Schizosaccharomyces pombe: one gene and its partner. The gene in region 2 interacts genetically with the main gene of each other region. Each region holds a gene or a part of one and is shown on either strand. Other genes may lie near its edges. The genes, in order: igo1 and ppk18.

Region 1 (3,954 bases), 2.7 Mb from region 2:
TCCTTCGTAATAACAGGATTCTTGGACGTCTTATGCCTTCAAGAGCCTTTGGCGACGCTCGTTACAAATGGTCCCAGGAAATTAGCGAGAGACTACACAGAGAATATTTTTCCGCTTCACCCATCCCTGTTAAAACTCCTCCATATGTTACTGCGGTCCCTGAAATTGAAAGTATCACCGTGAATCCAAAGAAGCATCGCTTTCTAATTATGGCTTCCGATGGCCTTTGGGACACTATGTCCAGTGAACAAGCAGTACAATTGGTCGGAGAATGGGCAGATACAGTTTTGGGTAAAACTACCAACGAAAAGAACACAACTCAGGATGACAAACAATCATGGTCGCTGTTTAAGAAAACATCAAAGGTCATTGATGATAATGCTGCCACGCACCTTATTCGACATTCTTTGGGTGGAAGCGACCAAAGAATATCTGCTTTATTAACCTTGACTTATCCAATTTCAAGAAGGTATCGTGACGACATAACTGTTACGGTGATCTTTTTCGACGAAAAAACTTTGTAGATACATACGATAAGGAATGCTATTTCACGCATAACTACTCTTATTCATGAGTAAAAAAAGCAAGAAAAGAAGGAATGCTTAACGACTAATTGAATAATCTGCCAAACACAAAAAAATTGGCACTACGAGAAAATATATATTAACACTTCATTTTTTTATTCCTATCACATTGACCAAGCTCAGTAAGATAAGCCACGCTAAAAAAAAAAGAAAAACAAAAGAAATACAGCAAATTTTTTTCGAAAGTAAAACCGTTGGAGACACCGTATCCACGTGGCGACGAATGGCAACAATTAAATTTTAGAATATGCTCATTTTGCTCTATAGAATGATAAAACGTTACATTGTAAATAAATGTAAAAAGAAAAATAAAGTAAGTAAAAACACTTGAAACTCACAAAAAGACGAGACGACAATAGTGCAATACGCAAGAGCGATGACGAGAACAATCATCAAACATTGGAATTAAACAATGCCATATAGCCAAAATCGTGACAAGTGTTCTGACAACAAAAAAACAAGTGAACCATATAAGAAATTACAAGATAGAACAACAGTTGATAAAGGAAAATGAAAAAAAGATTTAAAGTAAGAAACGAAGAAAAGGAATGCGCGATGCATTGAATAAAACAGAAGTGTTGTCCTCCATCAACTACGTAGAAAAGGGTAAGGAAGAGAAAAGGGAAGTATTAGAGTAGTAAGCGTTTTCATTTCGTAGACTTTTATCGTTATATATTTCTCATAACTCTTGACAGCTGAACAAACGCGTTCGTTCCATTTTGCCAGACCACAATTTTGCACACAGCATTTCCGCACACGACAAGCAATACCAAATTTTAAGAGCCAAGCCAAATTAAACCTCCAACCTTGTCGCAAAAATAGCAACGTGTATGACCTCAATTTTCATTGCTTTCCAAGTCGTGTCGCGTGACAGATTCCCTTCTGCTACTGGCACCACTAGGCGAGGACTCTGAGGGTCGTTTCGTGTGAAGAGACGGCTCTTTATTAGGAGACCCAGCACTGACAACACGGTGAGGAATTGTGTCAGGAGAGGGAATCTCCTTACCAATACAAGTGATACCTGAATCGGAGGCCTTTCCAGCTTTGTTTAAGGCATAGTCGCCTGAATCAAAGTATTTTCTACCTTGCTAAAAAGGGGTAGAGTTAGAATAAATATGACAATTTATCCAAAACACATCCATTCCTCCATACCTGTAATTTTTGAACTAATAGATCCTTTCGCTGAGGAAGTCGTCCATACAAACGGAAAAGCTTCTGTTCTTCTGGACTTAATTTCTATTTCAGTTAATAATCAATTTCAGCTGTACAATCTTAACTTACTGCAACGTCTACTTTCTGCTCTGAATTGCTAGAAGACATGGCGATTATGGTTGTTGACAACATCCATTTGCGCGTTCTTACCATATACCACACGGCCACTTGTCTACCGAAGCCTAAGATACCGCACTGTTAACGTATTAGGTATCATACGTAATTTTGTCGATACGTAAACACTCTAAAATTACTGGATTCCAACGAAATAGCGGCTGAATGAGCTAATCTACACTAAATGATCATTCATTGATTAAGTGGCATTTCTCATGAATGATGAAAAAGTAAAGTGGATAAGGTCGGTTTTATGCCAAATGTCATTTGTTTACTATTTACAAACAACTTGCTGCCTTTGCTATTGTGAGTGGAATCCTTGACGAAGACTTTGCATACTCGCTTGATTAACATGCTTTCTACCGACTCACTTGTTAACCCTACTTTCTTGCCAATAACCTATTCTTTCTAACCTTATCGGGCATTTTATCGCTGCGTCCAAAACTAATAAAAAAAAAATAAAATAATAAAATAATTATTATGAGCAAGGCCGATTTTTAACATGACGACAAGTTCCTTCCTATTGTTAGTCTAGGCAACCTATTTTTGGTGGCTGTAAAAAGTGTTGAATGTCCGACTCAACAGTCCCTTCCCAAAGTGTACAGATAGAAAGAAGAGCAGCAAGGGTAATAATGGGAGATGGGGTTTCTGCACAAATAGTTGAATTTCCATTTACCTAACTTGGAGATCAGAATAAGGACTAGAGAATGAAGTTGCTTCAAGGAGTCGGTTTATCTTGCTAATAGAAAAAGTACTTAGTTGCGAAAAGATTGCATCATGGCGATAACATCTCAAAAATCCGACATTTTCATTCTAATCGTGATACAGGTAGTAGTGATTTGAGGCAACTTTTAGTTGTGAATTGCTCATCCGTCTGAAGTGAAATTAGGAAGTCTTCTTGGCTTACGATTGTCATGTTAGCCTTAGTATTCGCAAAATTACTGTTACATGTGGAAATGACTAAATTTCTCATAGAATTACATATGCGTTCGCACTTTTAGCTAAGCGAGTGGCAGTCAATGAATGATATACATTTGGCATGTTAGCGGATGTGTCGCCTTCATGTTTGCATACTCAAATGTACAATAACGTATGTGCATACGGGAACAATAATTTGGTTATACGTGCATGATTGTTCTTATAGTTAGTTAGTTAGTTGAAGGAGAAACGTTTGGCGATGGACTTGGCTACAAAAAGTTATTGTACCGACCTGTCCAGCATTCATCATCAGTCCTTTGAGTGTACGATATTTGCGCATGGGCTTACTGATAGAGAATACTACCTACAAGTAGGTATTATATCTTTCATTAAAGACATAGTAAATATCTGTCATTTAAAACAGATATTTTGTATATCCTCTAGTACGTATTGTTACTTTACTGTAATTTGCAGTCGAAAAAATTAAGGAAATTGAACAACACAGTTCTAATGTATAAAAGTAAATATGGTGGAAAGTTTAAAGAATATTAAGGTTCGCTTAGTTTTCTGCTCAGCAGGCAACCGCAAAGCGAAAATAGGCATTGTTTTTATTCTTATACTTACAAAAGGAACGGAAACTGTAAAGAATACCGAGTAAGGTCAAGAATTTTTTGGTTTCTGTTTTTGTTTTCTTCGCTTTTACGTGATTTTAATTTAAACTTTTGTATATCATTTATAATTCAGTCATGTCATTCCCCAACCAAATACATAAGGTCAGGATGTGAGTGTAGTTCGGTAATAATGTGGGTAAAAAATCGTTTCGTTCCCGTTGTCACAAAACGATAATTCGGTCCACCGATTCACCATAGCTGGTCAACATAAATCATCTGCTTCGTTAGATTTTTTAGTAAAAGCAAACTCAATTCCTTTCGCATATAACTTTAGGCTCACCCATCAAGCTTGATGTTGGGTTCTTTTTTGTGAAAGATGTTTTCGGATTGGCGAATTCAGCCAACTCGAGATTTTCTTCGGAATTCTATCAATCCTCATCTCATTCAGCAGGTATAATCAGTTGAATCGCTATATCTTCTCCATTTTCATCTGAAGGTGTATCCAGACAATTCAA
Region 2 (7,201 bases):
CTGTTCAGAAACTATTAGGATTCTCTAAAGATGAAAAAGCCATTACAGTCTTTCCTCCGAGAAAGCGAGCACGTAAATTGGAAGAAAATAAAGATCCTGTGAGACAGGATATTCCCATCCCTCCTGTATTTTCACACTATGTAATGAATTTACCCGGATCAGCGATTGAATTTTTAGATGCTTTCAAAGGTTGTTATTATGGATTGGAGTACTTGTTTAAAGACCGCTCTCTTCCAAAAGTTCATGTTCACTGCTTTTGTAGATTTCCCGATCCTGAGGAAGATCTTATAAATGTATGAAATGCTTACTTTAAATGAAAATTTACTAACCAAGTTTTTTTAGCGGATATACGCTTCGTTGGGGTATCGTTTTTCTCCTGAAGAAGTTGACTTTTATTATGTCCGAAAAGTTGCTCCCAACAAGGTAATATCCTTCTTTATATAGCACTTTTAATGTAACTAACTAAACAACTAGGATATGTACTGTTGTACTTTCACGTTACCTGGTTCTATAATATTTGCTAAACCGGTTTCAGGTTAGTCTTTATAGGATTGAAATGTCGTTCAGGAGAAGATGAGCTATTTTGGGCTTATTATTTTTTCATTACTTTAACTGTTACATATCCTGTAGAAAAAACCTCAGTAAAAATAAAAGTTATAAATCCAAAAAAGTCTTGTAAGTTGACAAAAGTAAACTTTTTTCAAAAAAATTAGTGTTATTAATATTATTACTATTATAATTATTATACATTCGAGAAACAAAAAGGAAAAAATTAAAGAGAGTATGGTAACAACAAAAAATGAGCAATCACGATTAACAAACGTTTGAACTCATTTATTGCAAAGCCGGGCTATATAACCACGTAAAAGGAACGCGTTGATAGGCAAGTATAACCGTCCATCAAACATGCGAGGAATAGCAGCATTAATATCGATTCTGGTAGGTGTCAAAGCTATAGCTGGCGTATTTCGATTAGCACAATTACTTGATCGAACAATCTTTAATATAGAAACACCAGAAACACGAGTTAAATCTAATTGCAGAAATATGATCGAAAACTTCTCATCAGCCATTAAAGTTCTTAACATTTTGTCCTCATCGGTAACAATAGATACTTGAAACTTGTATGATTTTAGTAACTTGATCAGCTCTGAAAACAAATTCAGCTTGCTGACACATATCAAAGCCTTTAAGGGGACTGAAGAAGAGAAAAAAGGAGGGGTCTTTGAGAGTGGAGAAGACAAAGGAGATGCTTGACCCTCCTCAATTTTAAACGGATATGAAGTTTCCAAATTCGAAATCGGAAGATCAAGATTAAAAAGATCATCACTTTCAGAAGAACCAGTTGATTGATTCGTATGAGAGCTATGCTTTCGCATATGCAGTTGCTTAATCAAATCGTGCATTGACTTCGGGCCATCAGTTTTAGAACGAGATTCAACATCAGAACTGTTAATGGACTTCCTAGGTGTTGAATCAGTGGAAGAAAAATTAGAGCCCTGGTTTGTCATTAAAGAGGGACTTAAAGTTAGTTGCTGATCATAAAGTTTTGCAGAAGGCATATCGGAACCAGGGGTGTATCCAATGTGTGGATCCGGAGGGGATATATGTAATTTGCCAGCTATTTCTGATCTTATTTTTTCAATAGCATTTCGATTAGCTCTTTCCAAAACGCTTAAATTTTTATAAGAAAAGGGACCAAACTCGTCAAACTCTGAGTTAGCTTCGCTAAATCGGCGGCTTCTACGAGCTGACGTACTTCTCTCACGACTGCGACCATGAGATGAACGAAGGAATTGTGAACCTCTTTCCTGAGAAACATTATTATCCTTAGAAACTTCCTCTCCGCTATTTACAGATGAGCTCATGTTAGATTCTGCAGCCCCAGCTCCACGACTATCAAAATATGCAGTATCAAGTGGGGTTTCTGGTGCAGGTATAAAAGGAGCCTCGTGTGAAAAAATGTCATCCCAATTAATCCCATTAAAAAAAGGATGTTCTTTGATTTCATTAATATCCGAAAACCCAAGTCGTCTCTCCGGATTTGGCTGTAGAAACCCATTAATCAAGTCTAATGCTTCCTCGGAACAAGGATACATTTCTAAATCGGGCCATGCAATGTTATTAGCCAAAATATTTTCAAATACCTTTTCCGGGGTCTCTGCGTGAAAAGGTGGATAACCAAACAGAAACTCAAACAACACACAGCCAAGAGCCCACCAATCAACCATATCATCCTGTGTACTTCCGCGAAGAGTTTCAGGTGCTAAATAGTCAGGAGTACCAACGAATCTTTTAGGAGCATCAGGTTGTCTAAAAAAAGGAACCGATTGTAAATTAGGAGTCCGATTGACTTTCTGAGAGTCAACTGGACTTTCTAAATATTTACTAGAGATGCTATCTATGCTCGTACGAGTAGTAGTAGTGGTATCATCCTCTTTATACGTAGTAAATGTAGCCAACTCTGTTTTTTGCTTTTGCGATTTTTCATCATACGAAAAAGCACTAACACTGGTAGGTAAAATCAAGGGAGAACTGGCAATATTATCACCGGGATCACCCAACGCAGTAGGAGATTGAAAGCTGGGTGGTGACAAAATATTATTTTTACCCTTTTGTAAACGTAATTGCCGTGTAGTTAAACCTAACTGACTTAAGCCGAAATCCGCTAATTTCAGATGTCCAGTAATACTCATAAGGATATTGTCCGGTTTAATGTCACGATGAATTATACCAAGCCTATGTAAATGCTCAAGACCTAATGCAACTTCAGCAATGTAAATTTTTGCCCACGATTCCGGTATAGTGTACAACGATTTTAATAGGGATGCACAATCCCCTCCATTCATGAATTCCATAACAAGATAGAGGTAATCCCTACTTTGAAAGGCATAATACAATTTTGCAACAAATGCAGATTCTTCTTGCGCCATAAGCACAGCCCTTTCAGCTTTCACATTAGCGACCTGATTTTTTGAAATCATGTCAACTTTTCTTAAGACCTTAATGGCGTAAATCTCCCCAGTGGTATTTTTACGGGAAAGGTAAACAGTGCCGAAGGTTCCTTTACTAATAGGCTTTATAATTTCGTAATCTTGAATAGAAGGAGTCCCTTTACCACTGCTAATGTTGGATGACAGTGTCGATATGCCAATCTGGCGACTCAAAAATGGTTTTGGTGACTCTGTTTCACGGAAAGAATTACGCTCAACTGGGACAGTAAGTTTACTAAAGGGAAAACTTTCAGAGGTATAGGAAGAACCAACTCCATATAAAGTATTAACTGCACTCACAGATTTTCTTCTAGAAGCAATGGGGATTGCAAGGTTGTTGCGACGGCTTAGGTTGGGAGATCCACTATTAGTACTACTGTGATTTGTAGAGGAACGGTGGACTGAAAAAGAATTGGATGAATCAACACTAGCAGCAGTAATCGGCGGATCATTCCTATGGTTGAACTGTGAAATATCGTGCACTTCCTCAGGAGAAACAGAAGGCTTAACTGTATTAAATGGTTCGCATTCAATAATAGGAGATTGTGTCATAAGGGTTTCTTGAATTGGTTCAATAAGTGTAGGAGTCGTAGTACTGAGAGGTTCGTCATAACCATCAACTTGAATGGATTGTTCAATAATGGTCTGCACTTGATCTTCAATTTCACAACGAACACGCTCAGAATAATAGATGATGTTGCTGAGACGATTAATGGCATCAAGCTTTTTTTTTACTAAGGCATCCGTGTTTTCAAACATCAATTGCAACCCAGGGTCATCAATATGTGGTAAGCACCATGAAAGAGTTTTTGCATTGAAAACCTCACTAGCTGGTGATAATAAGCGTATTTCACTAAATGGTTGATTGTCTTCCCTGGTAGTGGATTCTGGTATGAAAGGTAAATGGATGGCTAAACAACTATCTGTATAACTTATGGCATCAAACAGCATGTTACTAATGTAATTTCTAATTTTTTGGGACAACGATGACCGGGAATTCGACTTCGCGGAGGAAGTAATAGAGGAAGGAAGGACGGCGGCGAGAGGAACTCCCAAATATGATACATCTGGTTCTATCTGATCGTCCAAAGAATCCAACAAACTTTGTAAAGCATTTCTTTGTTCGTTAAGAAGGTCATTTGCTTCTTGAGCACGTGCTTCAGCATGGTGAATGAGAAGACAAAGTTCAGTATGATGCTCAAAGTACCAATTTTGAATTTCATGATCGCAAACCCTGCAAAGTACTGTTTCAAAGGGAGGAAGACTATCGGTGGAAGGAACGGTTTGAAGCTTTTCAAGATGTTGGGCCAGTAACTGAGCTCCAAAACCTAGAGTTTCTGTGAGTTGCTGGCCTATTTCCTGACGAGTGATTCGCGTGGGCTTCAAAGGTTGCAAAACCCATAATGTATGAGAGGGTCGGCTGGTTAAGGGATCACGAATGAGGACACCAACGCAATCCAATTCGACAGACTTTGATTGCAGCTCCATTTCCTCATCCTGAACAAAGACATTTTCCTCCAAGGAGGGCAGCTTCGAAATCACGGTATGAATTTTAACACTGTGGGAGTCATCGTCAAGAAGCTGTTCAATGGCTGCGTTGAATATCTCCTGGTCGGATGACAGAAGAGCTGCAGGTTTGCCAGTAAGTTCTAACGAACTAATTCTATGCAACTTGGTTAGTAAAAGACCTAGCAATAAATTGAAAAAGAGCAAGATTTCAAAAGTTGAAGGACAGAGGCGACCCAAGGAGTATCAGCCATAGCTTGGCCAATCCAGCTTAAAAGAACTAAAACAGGTCGGCAGCAAATAGAAGATTTAAGTATTATACGTATGACTTACAGATCAAGGCAATTGAAGCCTTATTCAATGGCTATTTTTGCGTAATCTGCAAAGTCATACCAACCGAATCGTTAAAAGAAAGATACAAATTAAATGTACAATATAAATATTCTAGCAAGCAATGGTATCCTTCTGCCAACAACACAGAGAAATTTCGTAACATCGCCCGCTATTCCACTGCACTTACCCGGTAATCTGTGAGAAGTTTGTACTTGCAAACAGCACAGATCCGTCTAAATCTAACTCCAAGACATAAATGTTGTCTATTCCGTGATTTACTTTGTTATCCTCGTTGGAATTGCGTTCTTGCATTACCATTAACTTTATAACTCCATTCAGATTTTGATCCTAATGTGCGACAAGTAAAACCATTCGAATACAATTAGCGTTTCGTTATTTCATAAAACCCAATCTATCGACTAAAAAAACATAGACAATACGGTAACCAATTGATATTCTAATCAAACACCCAATTTATGAACGTGGGTGGCTCTTGATGACTGTGTCAATATTTATATGAGTGAGCAGTGCGTAGAGGCTAATCATTGTTACCCTGGGACGATTGATACCTGTGCTTACTTATCCCTTGATCAGGATTCACTAAGGGGAGAGATCGCGAGCCGATGTCTTAAATAACGATTTCGATGGCAATAATTATATAATTATATATCGTTGATCGCTATACTTCGGTTTATGAATTTTCATTGCAAGATGAAAAAAGGTTGGTGATTGAAAGGAAAGCGAGACAATGTAATGCAAGCTGTAGAAATGCGGATTTTTTTTGGAAATGTCTTCCATGATGTGTTATTCTGCTTTCATTTCTGTAACATGATTTTGCGCGGAAAGGTCTCAAACAAAAGTGCGACTGCGCGCATGCACGTATGCGCTTAATCCGCTTAGTACCAATTATAGATGGAGGATTGATATTTTGGCAGTTAGGATTAAAACCTGTTCTTCTTCAATCCCTCTTTAAAGCAGGGATACCCTCCTTGCAGCCCAACTATTCCTCCGATTCGCACTACTAATTTGTTCACAGGCTAATGTTTACAGATCTGTTGGAATAGGGATGAATGCGCCCATTCATAGTGTTGAAAATAGGATATTCGAGTTGCTTTGTTTAGACACCCCATCATTCAATATGCTCACAGCTGTGTTGGTAAGGAATGCATATGTATTATTGATGCATAAGGAGTTACCAATTTGTTAATAGATAAGTAGGTCATAACTGCTATTCTTTTCCAAAATCATAATTTCTGTCGCTTTTCATTAGTACCTGCTGAATAAAATTGGTAATGGATGGGTCATCAGAGAAACCGTTTTCTGTACCGGATTTTACACTCCCACGCTCTCATGCACAGCGTTCTAATAAATTTCCGTATATCTTAAAAGAATACATTATACTCTATGTTAAGATCATATTTCCAAATTCGATTACTTGACAGTTGACTAAAAGAGTGTATAGCGTGTACACTACCACAAAGAAAAGTTCCATTTTAGAGTTGAACCCCCGAAATTCATTCGAAAAGCAAAACGATTTCCTTTACTATGTTTTTTCTAAATTTTCCATATCGTAACGAAAATTTTGGTAGGGAGAATAACTCACTCATCACAAGTTGATCATTTTATTGCATACATGGTAAAACCCATTTTTAGAGAAAACGCATCGGCTGATACTAATTTGCAATAAAAAATATATTATCATCCCTGGCAACTGTTTATTAGTTTTAGGTTAGCATGGGAAGAACAGTGGTGTGGAAAACGGTTAAATTAGGAATTGCTCGATAATTCAAGCACATGGAAAACTTACACCAACTTCTTCTTTAACAACTTGAAATTAACGTCTCCATCATTGTCGTATTCATAATAGTGCAATATTACTGTATAATCTAACAACTTACACAATACAATATTAGTTATTCTTAGCTACAACTTACTTGAAAACATTAATCACATGACTTTTCTTATAAGCTAAAGATTCATTATATTTCGAAATGAAATTACGAGATGTTAAAGAATCACGAATTCAAAAAAATAGACGACCATAACAGTGTCAGGTTTCTTAGATACTCTGCTTTACTAACATAGCGGGCAGAAATATAAAAGATTCTTGAGATGCAGTTATGCTCGTAAAAAATAAATAACCGATAACCGCTGTGAACGAGAACAAAAAAAGCACATGAAAAAGCCTTGAGCTCAGTTTAGCTAATCGATAATTCGAATGAACATAGAGAAGTTTATATTATTCAGCGGTCACCACGATCATACAAACAACAAACCATCAGATATATTTCATCAAACCACAAGTTAAATTTTCATCGCATACCAATCACCTAAGCGACCATATAAAGCGCAATAAGAATTGACAACGT

What was found.
Region 1: of ppk18 (region 2) and igo1, changing one suppresses a phenotype caused by changing the other (phenotypic suppression), as found in Schizosaccharomyces pombe (one study listed by BioGRID).

The regions. Positions count from the first base shown.
Region 1 is NC_003424.3:1,236,891-1,240,844, reverse strand, and holds igo1 (serine/threonine protein phosphatase inhibitor Igo1), read right to left. Parts: upstream 1,950-3,954; coding exon 1,866-1,949; intron 1,821-1,865; coding exon 1,737-1,820; exon of another isoform or gene 1,673-1,736; coding exon 1,421-1,672; 3' UTR 660-1,420; downstream 1-659. Other genes in the region: SPOM_SPAC10F6.17C (bifunctional phosphoprotein phospatase/[pyruvate dehydrogenase (acetyl-transferring)]-phosphatase), read left to right, coding at 1-524; SPOM_SPAC10F6.15 (uncharacterized protein), read right to left, coding at 3,880-3,954. UniProt on the Schizosaccharomyces pombe protein: Plays an essential role in initiation of the G0 program by preventing the degradation of specific nutrient-regulated mRNAs via the 5'-3' mRNA decay pathway.
Region 2 is NC_003424.3:3,975,540-3,982,740, forward strand, and holds ppk18 (serine/threonine protein kinase Ppk18), read right to left. Parts: upstream 5,317-7,201; 5' UTR 5,151-5,316; coding exon 5,020-5,150; exon of another isoform or gene 4,975-5,019; intron 4,657-4,974; coding exon 831-4,656; 3' UTR 713-830; downstream 1-712. Other genes in the region: tRNA (guanine) methyltransferase Trm5, read left to right, coding at 1-293, 343-423, 475-540; SPOM_SPAPB18E9.04C (uncharacterized protein), read right to left, coding at 7,163-7,201.